Neurospora crassa OR74A: one gene and its partner. The protein of the gene in region 2 interacts with the protein of the main gene of each other region in a pairwise test. Links are inferred from orthologs where the notes say so. Each region holds a gene or a part of one and is shown on either strand. Other genes may lie near its edges.

The links. The genes of interacting proteins can lie anywhere in the genome.
Region 1: the proteins of NCU03952 (region 2) and NCU03808 interact in binary tests that used the Saccharomyces cerevisiae proteins (3 or more experiments, as listed by UniProt). The link is inferred for Neurospora crassa OR74A from reciprocal best matches to the Saccharomyces cerevisiae genes MPP10 and ECM16.

The regions. Positions count from the first base shown.
Region 1 is NC_026505.1:2,472,605-2,479,545, reverse strand, and holds NCU03808 (pre-mRNA-splicing factor ATP-dependent RNA helicase PRP16), read right to left. Parts: upstream 3,982-6,941; 5' UTR 3,913-3,981; coding exon 136-3,912; 3' UTR 60-135; downstream 1-59. Other genes in the region: NCU03807 (hypothetical protein), read left to right, coding at 4,386-4,538, 4,600-4,890; cyh-2 (60S ribosomal protein L28), read left to right, coding at 5,590-5,592, 5,651-5,689, 5,755-5,771, 5,834-5,863, 5,926-5,950, 6,014-6,041, 6,169-6,372, 6,434-6,537. UniProt on the Saccharomyces cerevisiae protein: Probable ATP-binding RNA helicase. Required for 18S rRNA synthesis. May play a role in restructuring of the pre-rRNA.
Region 2 is NC_026506.1:2,219,681-2,226,718, reverse strand, and holds NCU03952 (U3 small nucleolar ribonucleoprotein Mpp10), read right to left. Parts: upstream 4,347-7,038; 5' UTR 3,938-4,346; coding exon 1,559-3,937; 3' UTR 1,106-1,558; downstream 1-1,105. UniProt on the Saccharomyces cerevisiae protein: Involved in nucleolar processing of pre-18S ribosomal RNA. Required for the early cleavages at sites A0, A1 and A2 during 18S ribosomal pre-RNA processing.

The DNA of each region.
Region 1 (6,941 bases), on a different chromosome or scaffold from region 2:
CGAAGCTCACATCATCAAACCAAAACGAGAACGTCTATGCAGAAAACCAACAAGCAAAACACATTGATTACTTGAAACCCAGACCTGTCTCCTGAAATCCTTATCTATATAAAACGCCATGGAAAGCCATGTTTTCTACTCAACAACCCACCCTTGCCCGGCCACCTTCCTCTGCTTCACCTTCCTGGCCGGCAATGGCCAGCCCATCCCTCCCTGCCCTTCCGCTCTCAAATACGGCACCACCCAAACCTCCCTCTCCTTCCCATCTTTACTCTCTGACCCCTTAACCTCCTTAATTGGCTTTCCGTACGTAATCAGCGGCGTCCCCTTGGCCAAACTCGCCAGCTGACCCGCCGTCAAGTCCGTCAGCGCATGCATCCTCGTCTTGGCCCGCTTCTGCCCGTCCGCGCCCGTGTTGCCTGCCTTTTGCAGATAGGCGTACACGATGTAGTCCGGGCATTCGTCCACGCTCAAGTGGGCTAAGGGAGACGAGGGGTGGATGTAGACGAGCTTTTCTTCCAGTTCTAGTTTCCTGCCGTCCTCGCCTTCGAGCGGGATCAGGGGCAGGTAAGGAACGTCAATAGCGCGCTTGGGCTTGCGGTACATCTCGGGCGGCATGGGGGCCTTGTCAGCGCGGATGGCGACTTGGTCGATAAAACCCGCGGCAACCATTTGTTTTAGGGCTTGCACCTGTTTTTGCGAGGGGGGGTCAAGCGTGTCGGGCACGGAAAGGTTGGCGAAGGCGGGGATGTTGGCTCTCAGAAGGTCGATGAGCTGTTTTTGGAGTTGTTTGATTTCTTTGAGGACCTTGAAGCGAACAAAGTGGGAGTCGCACCAGGATTCCGTGGGGTCGTGCGCGAACTCGCCGACGACTTGGAGGAGCTTGATGGCGTCGGACTTGTCGTCTAGGTAGCAGAAGTTCTTGTGGACGGCGTTGAAGGCGGCGCGGATCTTGGCGCGGCGGTCGTCAGCAAGGACGTCTTCGGTAGTGCGGAAAGTGACGGCGCGGGAGTCGTCTTCATCATCGGAACCGCCGGCGTTGCTCTTCTTGGCTTCTTGAACGGCGGCGGCGGGGATGGCTTGGTTCTCGGGAATGTAGATCTCGCCGGCTGAGAGACCGGCTACGAGCGCAACGGTGTAGGGAAGGCAGTCGTGGAGATGTCCGATAAGAAGGATGCGAGCGAAGCGGGGAGAGAGCGGGAAGATGGACATGGTAGATCCGATGGGGGTGACTTGGCCAGTTTGGGAGATGGCGTTGAGGTAGGTCAAAAGCTTCTCGGCCTTGATCAAGCTCTCACGCGGTGGCGGCGTGGGGAAGGGGAAGTTGACGACATGCTGGAGGTTCATGGACTTGAGCTGGAGCACAACGCCCTCGATGGGCATGCGAAGCAACTCGGGCTCTGAAAACTCGGGGAAGTCTCTTTCGTAAACGGCCGAGGAGTAGAGTCTCCAGCAGTGTCCCGGACCGGTACGACCGGCACGACCGGCACGCTGCTTTGCGCTGGCCTTGCTGATCCACCCAATCTCGAAACTCTGGACGCCACTGACAGGATCGAACTTTCTCTCCTTCGACCTTCCAGTGTCGAAAACGTACTTGATGCCGGGAATTGTCAAGGATGTTTCAGCGACGTTGGTAGCCAGGATGACGAGACGGTGGCCCTCTGGGGGCGGCTCAAACACCTTCATCTGCTCTTTCGTGGGGAGCAAAGAGAAGAGAGGTAGGATATGCATCTTCAATGGCCCTGTACCAGATTCTTGGTCCTCAATCTCGAACTCCTTGTCTTCCTCCTCGTCCGACGCAATGGAGATATCGTCATCGTCTCTGTCGTTGATGTTACGGTCATCCTCAACGTCGCCAAAGTCGATGTCTTCGACTTCCATGGGTGCCTCCTTCGCAGAAATCCGCACCTTGGTGGTGCTGGCGGTGTTCATACCGCCACCAAAACGCGCCTTCAACCGCTTGCTGAGCTGGGCAATTTCACCCTGACCGGTCATGAACACAAGCATGCCACCAGGGGGCAGTTTCCTGTGGCCCCTGCAAATCTTGCGGAATGCCTCATCAACGTAGTCGTGGTTTGTCTTTTTGGCAAAATGCATGGTAACAGCATGCTCACGGCCTTCTACCTCAATGATGCGAGGAGTGGTGTGGAACAAGTTAGAGTTTTGGGTGAATTCCTCAACCCTGAGGGTGGCGGACATGATGATCAGCTTGAGAGGCTTGATCGTGGGGTCTTCCTCCGCCAACTCTCTCCTAAGCTTGACCACTCTGCTGAGCATCGCAATCAGGATATCGGTATTGACGCTTCTCTCGTGGGCTTCATCAATGATGATGGCAGAGTACTTGCGAAGAGCAATATCGATGGCCGCCTCACGAAGCAAGACACCATCCGTCATGAACTTGATGGCCGTCTTGGAGTCAACGGTGCCTTCGAATCTGATTTGGTAGGAAACCACATGTGAATAGTCTCCCATTTCTTCGCCAACACGCTTCGACATACTGACAGCAGCGACACGTCTCGGCTGGGTGACACCAATCATGCCAGGAGTAGGTCCATCCGGAACACCGTAACCGGACTCGAAGAGGAACTGGGGAACCTGCGTGGTCTTGCCGGAACCGGTGGCACCGCAAATGATGACAATGTCGTTGTCGTGAATGGCCTCCATAATCTTCTGTTCCTCTGCAACAACCGGTAACCTGAAACGAGTTTCCTGGATCTCGGGTGTCCTGGTAACTACCACGGCGAAAGCCTTGCGGGAATCGTTCTTTGTTGGTTGCAGCTCGATAGGCAGAGGCTCTTGTTCGATCGGCCGAGGCGTAAAGTTGGCAGGTTTCGGTATCTCGAGAATGCTTGATTCAGCAGGCTTGTAACCCAAAGCTTCGTTCCTCGCCTGATGCGCCCAAGCCTTGAAGGCTGAAGACTTTGCTTTCTTGTCCTCCTCGGCGTCCTCCATGTCCTCGTCGGATTCTTCCGCAGAATCATCGTCTTCTGAATCATCTTCGGAACCCTCTCCGTTCTCTTCAGATCCATCCTCTTCTCCCGATTCCTCCTCCTCCTCTTCACTGCCTTCTTCCTCGCTGCCTGAACCACTACCCTCAGACTCTTCATCGTCTGAACCCTCTTCGCCCTCCGAACTGAAACCGTCCCATTCTACCACTTCCGGCACAGGAATGACTGCGGGAGCTTGCGATGATGTAAAGTTGTGCTTCGTTTTCACACCTCCTCTCTTTTGTCTCTTGGCAAGTATTGGGCGTCCTGACTCGTCGACCTCTAAGGGGCGCTTGAGACCAGCACCGACAGGTACTGGCAGGCTTGTTGACGATGTCGTCGCTTGTACTGGTGTAGGCTCGCTTGTTTCCGCTGGCGCGCTCCTTGGCTTCTCGGCTGCCGAGTCCTGCTCATCTTCCGAGCCCTCTGAATCCTCGTCGACCGTGGGTTTAGGCTTTGGTACTGGTGCACCTTCCTTCACCTCTCGCTTTTCGTAAAGTTTCTTGGCCGCCTCCTTCTCTGTTATAAGTCCAGCTTTTGCTTCCTTGACAAGCCGGCTGAGCTCCTCCTTTTTGGTCAATTTTGTTTGGCCTAGTGATTTTGTGCTTGAGAATAGGGAGGTGTCGATCTTGTTGGCGGCAAGCTTGGCCAGGAGTTCGCGGTTCTCGTCCTTCTTGAGCTTTGTGTCGATGTACTTTTCGAGTCTCTTGGCCTTCTTGCTGCTGACCTTGACACCCGCAGGCCTCAATTCCTCCCGTAGCTCGGTCTTCTTCTTTTCGGCATCCGTGGTGGTTTCCTGTCCAGGAGCGATCTCGAGGACGTTGGTGTCTTCGGGGTCTTGTGTTCCCTTACTCCTCGACCGCTGGCGATCAAGCTGCTTGCGCTTGCGCTGACGCGGCACGAACTTCCCGTCTATGACAGCCATGTTGTTGTTTTATCGGGTGTGCTCGAGGCGAGCAGTGACGGCAGAAATGAGGGCCGGTGTCGCGACGGCAGAATGCAACGAACTGAAAGTCACCAAGTACCCTGAAGATTTGAAGATTAAATCTTGTCCGCCTGGCAGAATTTCTGCGCTAAATGTGGCACCCCACGTTTTGGGGGCCTGTGAGGGTCCAGGACAGCAACTGAAGTAACCCAGCTACAGTGCGCGTACAGTTTGCTATGTTTCGTGGGTCCATCCTGAACTCTGCAGCCCAGCCCACTCCGGCTCCATCAACAAACATCACGATGGAGTCCCGCGTCTAAACTCTGAATATGAACGCAGTAGAGACATCAGAGAGTACTATCCGACCAGGAGTACAGAAGCCGAAGTTATCCCCCTACGGTCTTATCCTTTGAAACACACGCGGTTTTTCGAGTCTTGCAACTGTCCATACTTCACCACATCCAGAACTCACCATGTCTGAGGACGCAGTCAGGCAAGAGCCATTCCCGTCACCTTCCAGGCAGGCAACTGGGCTTGTCAACGGAGTGGAAACTGAGGTTTCATCAATGAACTTCTCGGACAAGATCATGGTCACCATTTCTCAAGGTGGGCGCCTTGCTCAGTGGGTAGGTTCAAGAGCGCCCGAACGCCATCCCACTTACAGTCTACTAACATACCATGTTCTAGGTCCAAGTACAACTAGCCGCACCTTCTTCCGCGTCAGTAGACATGGCTCTGCCTGGCGCCGGTAGCCTGTTACCATCAGAACATTTAACAGCAACGACTCTTCTTGGAGGTGGAAATGCGGAGAGGGAGACCATGGGCCAGCTTTATGCCAGTCAAATTGCCAGTCTCCTGACTTTGCGCAACCCCAATGAGCAGCGGTCTTTGTTGCTTGGTTTGGGCCTGGAGAAGGTCGACACCACTACTAGTGACTCCTTCTATGACGTGGTCGAGTTGGTACAACAAGTCCTCTAATAGTAAATGTCATGGAGTGAACGATATCTCGCAGTAACAAGTTCGAGTTGAGGCTATCGCGATGAGCAGTTCTGGTGAAGCGGGGAGTAGAAACCAAATGTGTGGTTATCGGGAATGAGCATGTTCGCAACTCGGTGGATGTGGTCGGCTGAGAAGATGTAAGTGAGGGCTGGTCTGTCTTAAGGCAGGTTCTGGGAAGACAGGGGAACGATGGCTGGGCTGCTGGCCAGTTTAATCCTAGAGATGTAGAACACAGAACAATGGAGGGCAGTGAGCCCGATCTTGCAGCAACACAAAAGATGTGTGTCAAACGAAAAGCGACTCCAGGCAGATCGACAATTTCGAGCAAGGATCCAAACAGGATGATAGGATGATAGGATGATGTTGAAGGCAAGAGGGGCTCAAGTGGACGAGCTGAGGGACAAGGCTTAGCCATAGACCCTAACCCTGCTTGATGAAGCGGAAATATGTGGCTTGTCGAGCTGGTAGGCTGGCCTTGGCACACAGCAATTGCAGCGAGAGGAACGGTGTGGCTTGAGTGCGTGGTGCGGCTCAAGCCCGGAGCTTGGACCACCACTTGTGCCCACCAAAAAAAATACACAGCCCTAAATTTGACTTGTACGAGACCCGTGAAGCGTCTCTTAGAAGCATCAACCGACGTCGACAGAACGAGCTTCATCGGCACCACCAGCAGACAACATGGTATGGCAATTGCTGCACGACTATCGCAGGACGAAACGCTGATTCAGTTATTATGTAGCCTACTCGGTTTTCCAAGACAAGAAAGCACCGCGGACATGTAAGCGCCCCCTCGAGCTTTGTCGTCGCCGATTCGACAGATGACTGACTGTAGTGATTTTATAGGTTTCCGCCGGTAAGGGGTATGTCGCCAACCGATCAACCGACCGATAAACACGAACGAGTATTGACAGCATTATTCCAGCCGTGTCGGCAAGCACAGAAAGCATCCAGGGTACGTACCGCCGCTTCTGCAGATTCGAAGGGGGGGAAATATGATGCTAACAATGGGAACAGTGGTCGTGGTATGGCCGGTGGTCAGGTATGCCGATAGAAACTCCAACGACTCGATCTCGAAAACACGCGATACTAACCCGACGATAAGCACCACCACCGTACCAACCTCGATAAGTGTACGCAACCCCGAAAATAAACGGTCGGCGCATGTTGGAGGGCGCATGGTTCAACCTCACTTCTCCGACATGCGACCAGGCCTTGCCCCTCGATATAATGAAAATAAACGCTGACGATGACGGATAGACCACCCTGGTTACTTCGGTAAGGTCGGTATGAGGCACTTCCACCTCCTCCGCAACCACCAGTGGGCCCCCATCCTCAACATTGAGAAGCTCTGGACTCTCGTCCCCGCTGAGGCCCGCGAGAAGTACGTCTCTGGTGCCGCCACCGAGACTGCTCCCGTCATCGACCTCCTTTCCCACGGCTATGCCAAGCTCCTCGGCAAGGGTAAGAACAAGCAATTGCAAAGAAACACCCCCGAGAAGGCTCGTCTAACAACACATTCTAGGCCGTCTCCCCCAGGTCCCCATCGTCGTCCGTGCCCGCTACGTCTCCGCCGAGGCTGAGCGCAAGATCAAGGAGGCCGGTGGTGTCATTGAGCTCGTTGCTTAAATTCTGAATGCGGCATGATATATTCAAGGACTGGCGATTTGGCATCACGGTACGAGGGAAACCGGAAACGAACCCGATGGTCATGGATCGAACAGTCGGACAGACGAACAACGACAAGATTCGGTCCCGGAGTCCTGGATGGGTCAGAGGTGGTTGAAAATCTCAGCGCCTCGTCTGCAGCATTTAGGGAAATGGCAGTTCATTTGCATCGCAACATTGGGTCCGGGATTTCGTTCACAACCGTGCCATGCTGCAGACTGGCGAACTCGGGTGGTCCCGAGAGGGTAACCCGGGCCGCGGCTGCGTCGCAAACTGCTGATTCAGGGGCAAGTAACGAATAAATGAAGGCCTATGCCCGACGGTCGGTTGATCTCATCCATGAGCATTTCCTTGGCCATTGTGAA
Region 2 (7,038 bases):
ACCGGAAAGACAGCACGGTTAGATTTCATGGACGAACGGAAGAGCTCGAGAACAACGGCTCACAAGAAGGAACTTCAGTGGAAATTAGACAAGATGTATTATGCTCAGAGTTTGCGTCTTGCTTTTTCTCCCTTATCCGTTCAAAGCTCATCATGAGCTGGAAAAGTGTCGGCCAGTTGTACTTTGTTTTGCTTCAAGACGTGTGACTGTGTACTTTTGCTGTATATGCTCGAGTCAGTTGGCAAGTGAGACGAGGGCCAGAAAACGACCCATTGTTCGACTGTAAAGTCCTCATAAGAGACTCAAGTAGCCAATCCTTGCTATGAAAACAAGGAGAGATTTTCGAAACACATATGTCCTTGGCCCTCCCAAACAAGTCATCGTGATCGAGAGGGGACTGCAAATGGTCTGTCGTATATGGGTATGTATTCACATCTCCGGACCGTCTTCGAGAAGTCAATGGCTCACGAGCTGTTCCCCAGAACTAGTATATCTATGTGATTACCCCTTCAATTTTGGGTACATGCTCATAAATCCAAAAATGAACAAACTATATCAAGAAGCCAGTGGTGGATTGCAGAGGTGGACGCGGATGATGGATGTAGAATGATACCAAACATAGTCTGGACAGTTCGTCTGGCACTAGGTCTTATTAGGGCGGACGAAGAAGACGGTTTCAAACAGAATAAGAGGTAGTGTACAACATGCTTAACTGTCTCTTCATGGTCTCTTCAGCCTCGGGTTATCCCCTTTTCACTTCTCTCTTCACTTCTCTCTTCACTTCTCTCTTCACTTCTCTCTTCACTTCTCTCTTCACTTCTCTCTTCACTTCTTCTTAATCAACCAAAACCTGAGGTCCGGGGTACAGATAGCCTTGAACAAGGTAGAGGGAACTTTTTCCTTTTTCCTTTTTTTTTGTTTCTTTTTTTTTCCTTTTATTTTTTTTCTTTCTTTTCTTTTCTTTTTTTTTTTTTTTTTTTTTTTTTTTTTTTTTTTTTTTTTTTTTTTTTTTTTTTTTTGATAAAGGGCAAGCTAGTAGTAGGGGTAGGCAATCCCAAATACTAATAAGATGTAATGAAAATGGAGAGTTACCAATTTGGCTGAGGGTGGATAGCTAGACTGATTTTGCATTTTTTCACTTTGTAGACCTGTGGAGGTAGAGGTAGGTACCAAGTTATGAGTCGCTATGATCTGGGCTGAATTGGAGGAAAGATCACACGGAGAATAGTGACGGGTAACAGAAGGAAAGCATGAGGGGAAACAGAGCAATGAGGTTGGAGAGGGCCAGGATTAGTTGTTGTACTGACTCCATAATATTAGGCACACAAGAATCATCTTCGACAATGTTGAACGTGAACAGTTGAGCATTGTATACCGGCTGACGGCCGATGAAAAACAAACTCATGCATAGTTTTTGAACTCCCAATTATGTACCTATTCCATACAAAAGAAAAAGACCTTTACAGATCGCCCTTAGCCAAGACTGCCCACCCGTCCAACCCATCAGGGTATCATCCATCTTCTTCCTACGTCTATCCCTCGTCTAACAACCCGACCTTTAAAGCTTGAAGGCACCACTCGACGTAGGACCCTTCTGCTCCGCGATCTTCTTGCCATCCAACCCAACCGTCTCACCCTTCCGGTTAATAACCTTGACACCGCCCTTCTTGAGCTGGCTCATCGTCTCCTTGCGTTCCTGGGCACCCTTGCTGATGTTCTTGTTCGCATCCAGGCCGCCGGCCTTGCGGATGCGCTCCTTCTCGCGTCTGCGTCTCCTAGCCTTCTCCTCGCGGCTCATCTCCTCCTTGGCAATCGGCAGGCCGCTCTTGGCCACGACCTCGCCCTTCTCGACTGAGTCCTTGCCGGGGGCGTACACCTCCTGGGGCGCGAGCGTGCTCTCGCCACCCGACACACCCTGGGCCGTGGTGGGCATGGCGTCCTCCATGGCGACGGTGGCGACGTCGGTGACAACGCTGATGGTGGGTGCGGCGGGTTTAGGCTTGTAGTGCCAGCTGCTGAGGGCGTCGAGCTTGGCGCAGATGTCCTTCCACATGTTCTTGATCTCGGCCTCGTCGCGCGTGAGCTTCTCGTCCGAAGCGCTGACGTACTCGTCCGGGTTGGCCTTCTTGATGTGCTCCTCCTCGTAGATCTCGGCGAGAGACTGCTTGCCCTTGGTGTCGTCGATCTCAACGAGACCGCGGCGCGCGTTGTTGGGGTTATTGAGGGTGTCAGGACGTCTCCTGAGAACCTCGTCGAACTCGTTGGCAAGAATGCGGCGTTTGATGAGCGCCTCAATCGTCTCGGAAACCTCCTCGGTAATGACGGGGACAGGCTTTCCGACATGCTCAAACTCGAGGTCTTCCTCCAGGAGCGAGTTCATGGGACGAGCTTGCGCGGAAGCCTCACCGGACAGAGTCCAGGCGCGCTTGGCAACTAGCTCAGACTCGAGCCTGCGGATCTCCTCGGCAATCTTGGCTTGTCTGCGCTCGTGGGCGGACCGGCGAGATCTCGGATCACCAGCATCAAGATCCGAGAGCTTATCTTCATCTTCATTCTCCGAGATGTCGTCGAAGAGATCGCGGCGCACATCATTCTCGGCTCTCTCCATATCGGCCTCATCTGGCTGCTCAAGTTTCTTGGGGAAATAGCCTCCTTTCCTTTGGTTGCCGGTCTTCTTCTTTTGAGGTGGCGCGAAGAAGTCCTTGTAGTAAATGTCGTTGGCGGTAAGGTCCATGTCCATACCGAGAACACCATCTGTAAGGCCGAGATCGTCGCCATCGTCCTCGAGCTGCTCCACGTTCTTCTTGCCCTTGAGTTTCTTGGCGTGGGCGGCGGCAGCAGCCTCGAGGGCCTCGTCGTCTTCGGATTCATCGCCCATGTCGACGTCGTCCTCATCCTGGTCTTCGTCCTTCTTCTTGTCGCTCTTGCCCTTCTTTGATTTTGGCTTTGTCGCGAAAGGATCGGCGTGCCAGTCTAGCTGTTCGTCGTCGCTGTCGGCATCGACGTTGGGGTCCGCACGGGCATCCGCGTCCTCCCACAACTGTGTCTGCCGGTTGAAGTCGTCTATTGAGAAGAAGCCGTCGTTGAGGCCGTTGGGATCCTCGACAAGTTCTGGCGCATCCTCTTCCTCTTCTTCTTCTTCTTCTTCTTCTTCTTCTTCCTCCTCCTCCTCATCAAACTCTCCTTCTCCATCTTCGTCCGAGAATTCAACCTCTTCGCCATCGATCTCGATTTCTTCATCGTCGTCGATCTGGCTGCCCTCTTCTCCTTCTAATTCTTCTTCGTCATCCTCCTCATCCTCTTCTCCTTCAGAGCCAGAACCAGATTCGCTATCAGCATCCTCCTCATCGTCCTCCTCCTCCTCATCAGAACCAAGCTCAAACCCATCCTCTCCAAACTCAATGGTCTTCTCTTGTTCCTCGCCGGTGCCCACAATCCCGTTCTCCTCCAGCTCCTTCAGCACATCGCCAGCCTCCTTTGTGGCGCTGGCAATGATCTTCTTGGCCTGCTGCCAAATCTGCTCCGTCTCGAAGCCGTCGTCGACGTGCAGCTTGCGAATCTTGAGCACGGCATTCTTGTCATAGCCAGCCTCACGCTTGCGCTTCTTTCCACCGATGGTGGCCGCGATCTCTTTCAGCTTTGCCTGCTGGTGGTCACTGACCTGCGAGGCGAGCGCGTCGAGGGTCTCCTTGGCGAGCAGGAGGGATCCGGCGGGAAGGGTCGAGGGCGGCTGCAGGAAGACGTGGCGGTTGGACTCGTCGGCCAGGGCCGAGAGGAAGGAGGCGACGACGGGGTTGTTGGCAATTGTCGAAGGAGAGGTGCTGCCGCTCGACGATGCGGCGAGGGTAGCGGCCATGACGCTGTTGTGTGTGGAGGGGTCGTGGGTGATTGTTTGGGATGTCGAGGTTACGGAAGAGGTTATGCTGCCAGCTGCCATGTCTGTTTTTTAGGTAGGGTTGGACTAATGCTGTAAGAAGATCAATCAAGGCTAGGGTATCGAGGCTGGCCTTGTCATACAAGTGTCTGACTTGAGGGTTCAATATGGACGCTTGACTAAGAAATGGCAGGGCGTCGGTGTTTGCCGTTGCCCGTACCAAAACAAAAAAAAGTTCGACCTGACGATGTTTGGTTGCCAGCCGGCGATATTGATGGACCAAAATTTTTTCTGCCATAGCGCTCTCCAAGGTCCAGGAAACGGCGAAGCGTGGAGGCAGGCGTCCCCGCACCAGCTTATGGGGCTGGCTGTGAATTGACCAATGATGGGTGATTCTGCTCTCTGGAAATGGAAGTAGGTCCCACTTCTCTTGTTGTTAAGCTTCAGGGCGGTGCACCGCTATAAGACGAGGTTGCCTTAACACTTATAATCGGATGACAATGTCAAGTAAACAAACCACAAAGTGCATGCAGTCTCAAAGGAGATGCTCGACATCAAGCTTGAGAGAGGGGATGAATTCACAATGACCTTTTTTTAAATATAGCATACGCTAGCGAGTTACTCTGAAGTTACTGGAAACTCAGTAAGCAATCACGCAACGATCTCCAGTGCTGTTGGATAGGTGAAGTCGCCGTTTCGACACAGGCACCTAGCTTGTTATCAGCACTTCCTTATCTAAAATTCCAGACTACCCTATCAATCCCATCAGCTCGTACATAGTCTATTGTATCTTTCGCCGCTTCACTTTCGTCGTAACTGGAAGTTTCTTGTCAAACGGTAAAAGGTAATTAAATTGTGCAAGAACTGTAAAATGTTAAACCAACGATTAACCCCATTGAGGAAGAGCGCTAGGTTTGCCTCATACTAGCTACATTACAGTATGCTTCTCGTGTTCTTTTCAACATCGTAATGAGATCTCTGCGACAGACGTTGATGGACTATTTTCTGTAGAGGTAGGCTACTTACCCAGCCGGCTCTTCTTCATGGTCTGGATAACGTGCAGAGAAAGCTCTTATTACATAGTAGAAATGTAAGGGTGTTATTTGCGCACCTTCGGGGAAAGATGCTGCAAGTCATAACACTTGTTGAAGTTCCTTCACAAGCCACATCCCTATGCATATGGTATCGCCCGTGAGAATTTTGACGGACCATGAGGTATTCTTTCAAAATACGACAGCAGCGTTGACGTGCTGCATTAGGGTCTGGACCGTCTAAGCCTTCATTGAATGCAACTCGCGGGAGAGTGTCCCGCCGAGCCGAGCTGCGAGTGATACTCAAGACCTTCGTATCCCAGGCCAGGGAATTGTATCATGTTCTTTAGCGGTTGCCGAGGTCAATGTGAGGGCGATGGTGGCTTTGGTGATCCCAGCCTCTATGGTCGTGCGTTGCGTGCTCTCAATATGACCTCTTTTTCATGTTCGCCGGGAAATAACTGTGAACCTCACGGTGAAGATGTTTGCTATGTAACCACTAACTTGCTGTCGTGAACGGCGAGGATCCCATCAAGTGTCAGTGGCCTCCTGTATAGTACGACACATGAACTTGATCGCTAAGTGGCGTTGCTCGGTCCAATCGCATCACACCATCTATCTCTGCTACCTACCTAGAGTAGAATGGCCAAGTTAACGGCAACATTTCCAAAGTCGTACAGGAGGTCGCGAGAGAAGTTTCGGTTGGCTCACACTATGTAACTGCCAATCGCACACTGTTTGGTTACAGAGCTGGAAGATACGTCGAGATGGAGGGACGGGAAATACTTTTGAGTTGCCGGATGTTACCTAATTTGTCAAGCGAAGGAGATCTCCTTGTGAAAATCCGGACGGGCCGATTCATTCTTTTCTATTTTCCATATCCGCCTCCCTTCTGGCAGGCTCTATGTGAGGGTGAGAGGAGAAACTGCATCCCACAACAGGTCTTCACAACACGACTTGTCAAGAGCACCTGTCCGTCGCCCCACCCCATCTATGCTGTTGGGAGCCGTCTTGCAGCTGTACCAGTGGCAACTCGATCGTTTTCTCTTGGTAGGACCACGGTGCAAATGCTTGAGTACCGTACCTACCTAACCTCGGTCGAGACAAAATGAAAGAGACTGCAGCCGGCCCAGACCAGAATCATGACATTTCCTCTCGTTAATTTTACCTCTTTTATTCGTCTTCATGGTCATTTATGGTTCTCAACAAGTGTCTACAGCCTTACAAACTCGTAGGTGTTTTGTCAATATGCCGTTGACATCATGTTCTGGAGACCATGTTTTTCTTTTTGTCCTGGACGAGCCAGTTACGCAACCATAATGGGTGTGTATGGGGAACCTGGTGGAGGACGATCAATCGTTGTTACCCTGGAGGTGGTTTTGGCCGACCCGGATAAAGCGACTGTGCGCGATTCCAAACAGCCTGTGTGGGCCAAGGCACATGTCACCTCCCGGTAACCTAGATTAGTGGTTAGGGTTAGTGGTTAGGGTTAGGCGTTAGGGTTAGTTCCGGGGGTGTAGGGGGCCGGTGAGAGGCCCCTGCGTGTGAATGAAAGTCCAACGCTTTAAAAAAAGGTGGTTTTAAGTTCTTATTATCGTTGTTAAGATAATGACATTTGGTGGTGACTTTGGTGGTGACTTGCGGTCGCGAAAGTTGGCGCGACAGATGCCAAGCTTTGGGTCTTGGCTGAGCTTGGCTGTCGATTTGTATGGGACCCACACAGGCCATATGGAATCGAGCACAGTCGCTTTATCCGGGTCGGGTTTTGGCGTGTTTCTAGACCAATAGCAGCGCCATAGTCAGTGATTCTCTTCCTCGTTTGAAGACGTTGTACGTCTCGCGCTAACAAAACTTTTAGCATGAATTTGTAGATCAATAATAAACGAGTTGGTGATAGCCCAGACTCATCCTCGACAAACGCTCGCTTGTGGATAAGGTAAACACACAGAACACTTGGTCGCGTGCCTTTTAGCCGAACAAAGAAGGGGAGAGATTGCAGGTCTACCATAACCGTTCCCGAGGGTAGCTTCCCGGGCAACGACACGGGCAGCCCCAAGCACGTGCCTGCTTACTGAACTATGACAGGGCCGATGATTCTAGACCAGGGTGGAACTATTAAGGAACCGTGCCAAT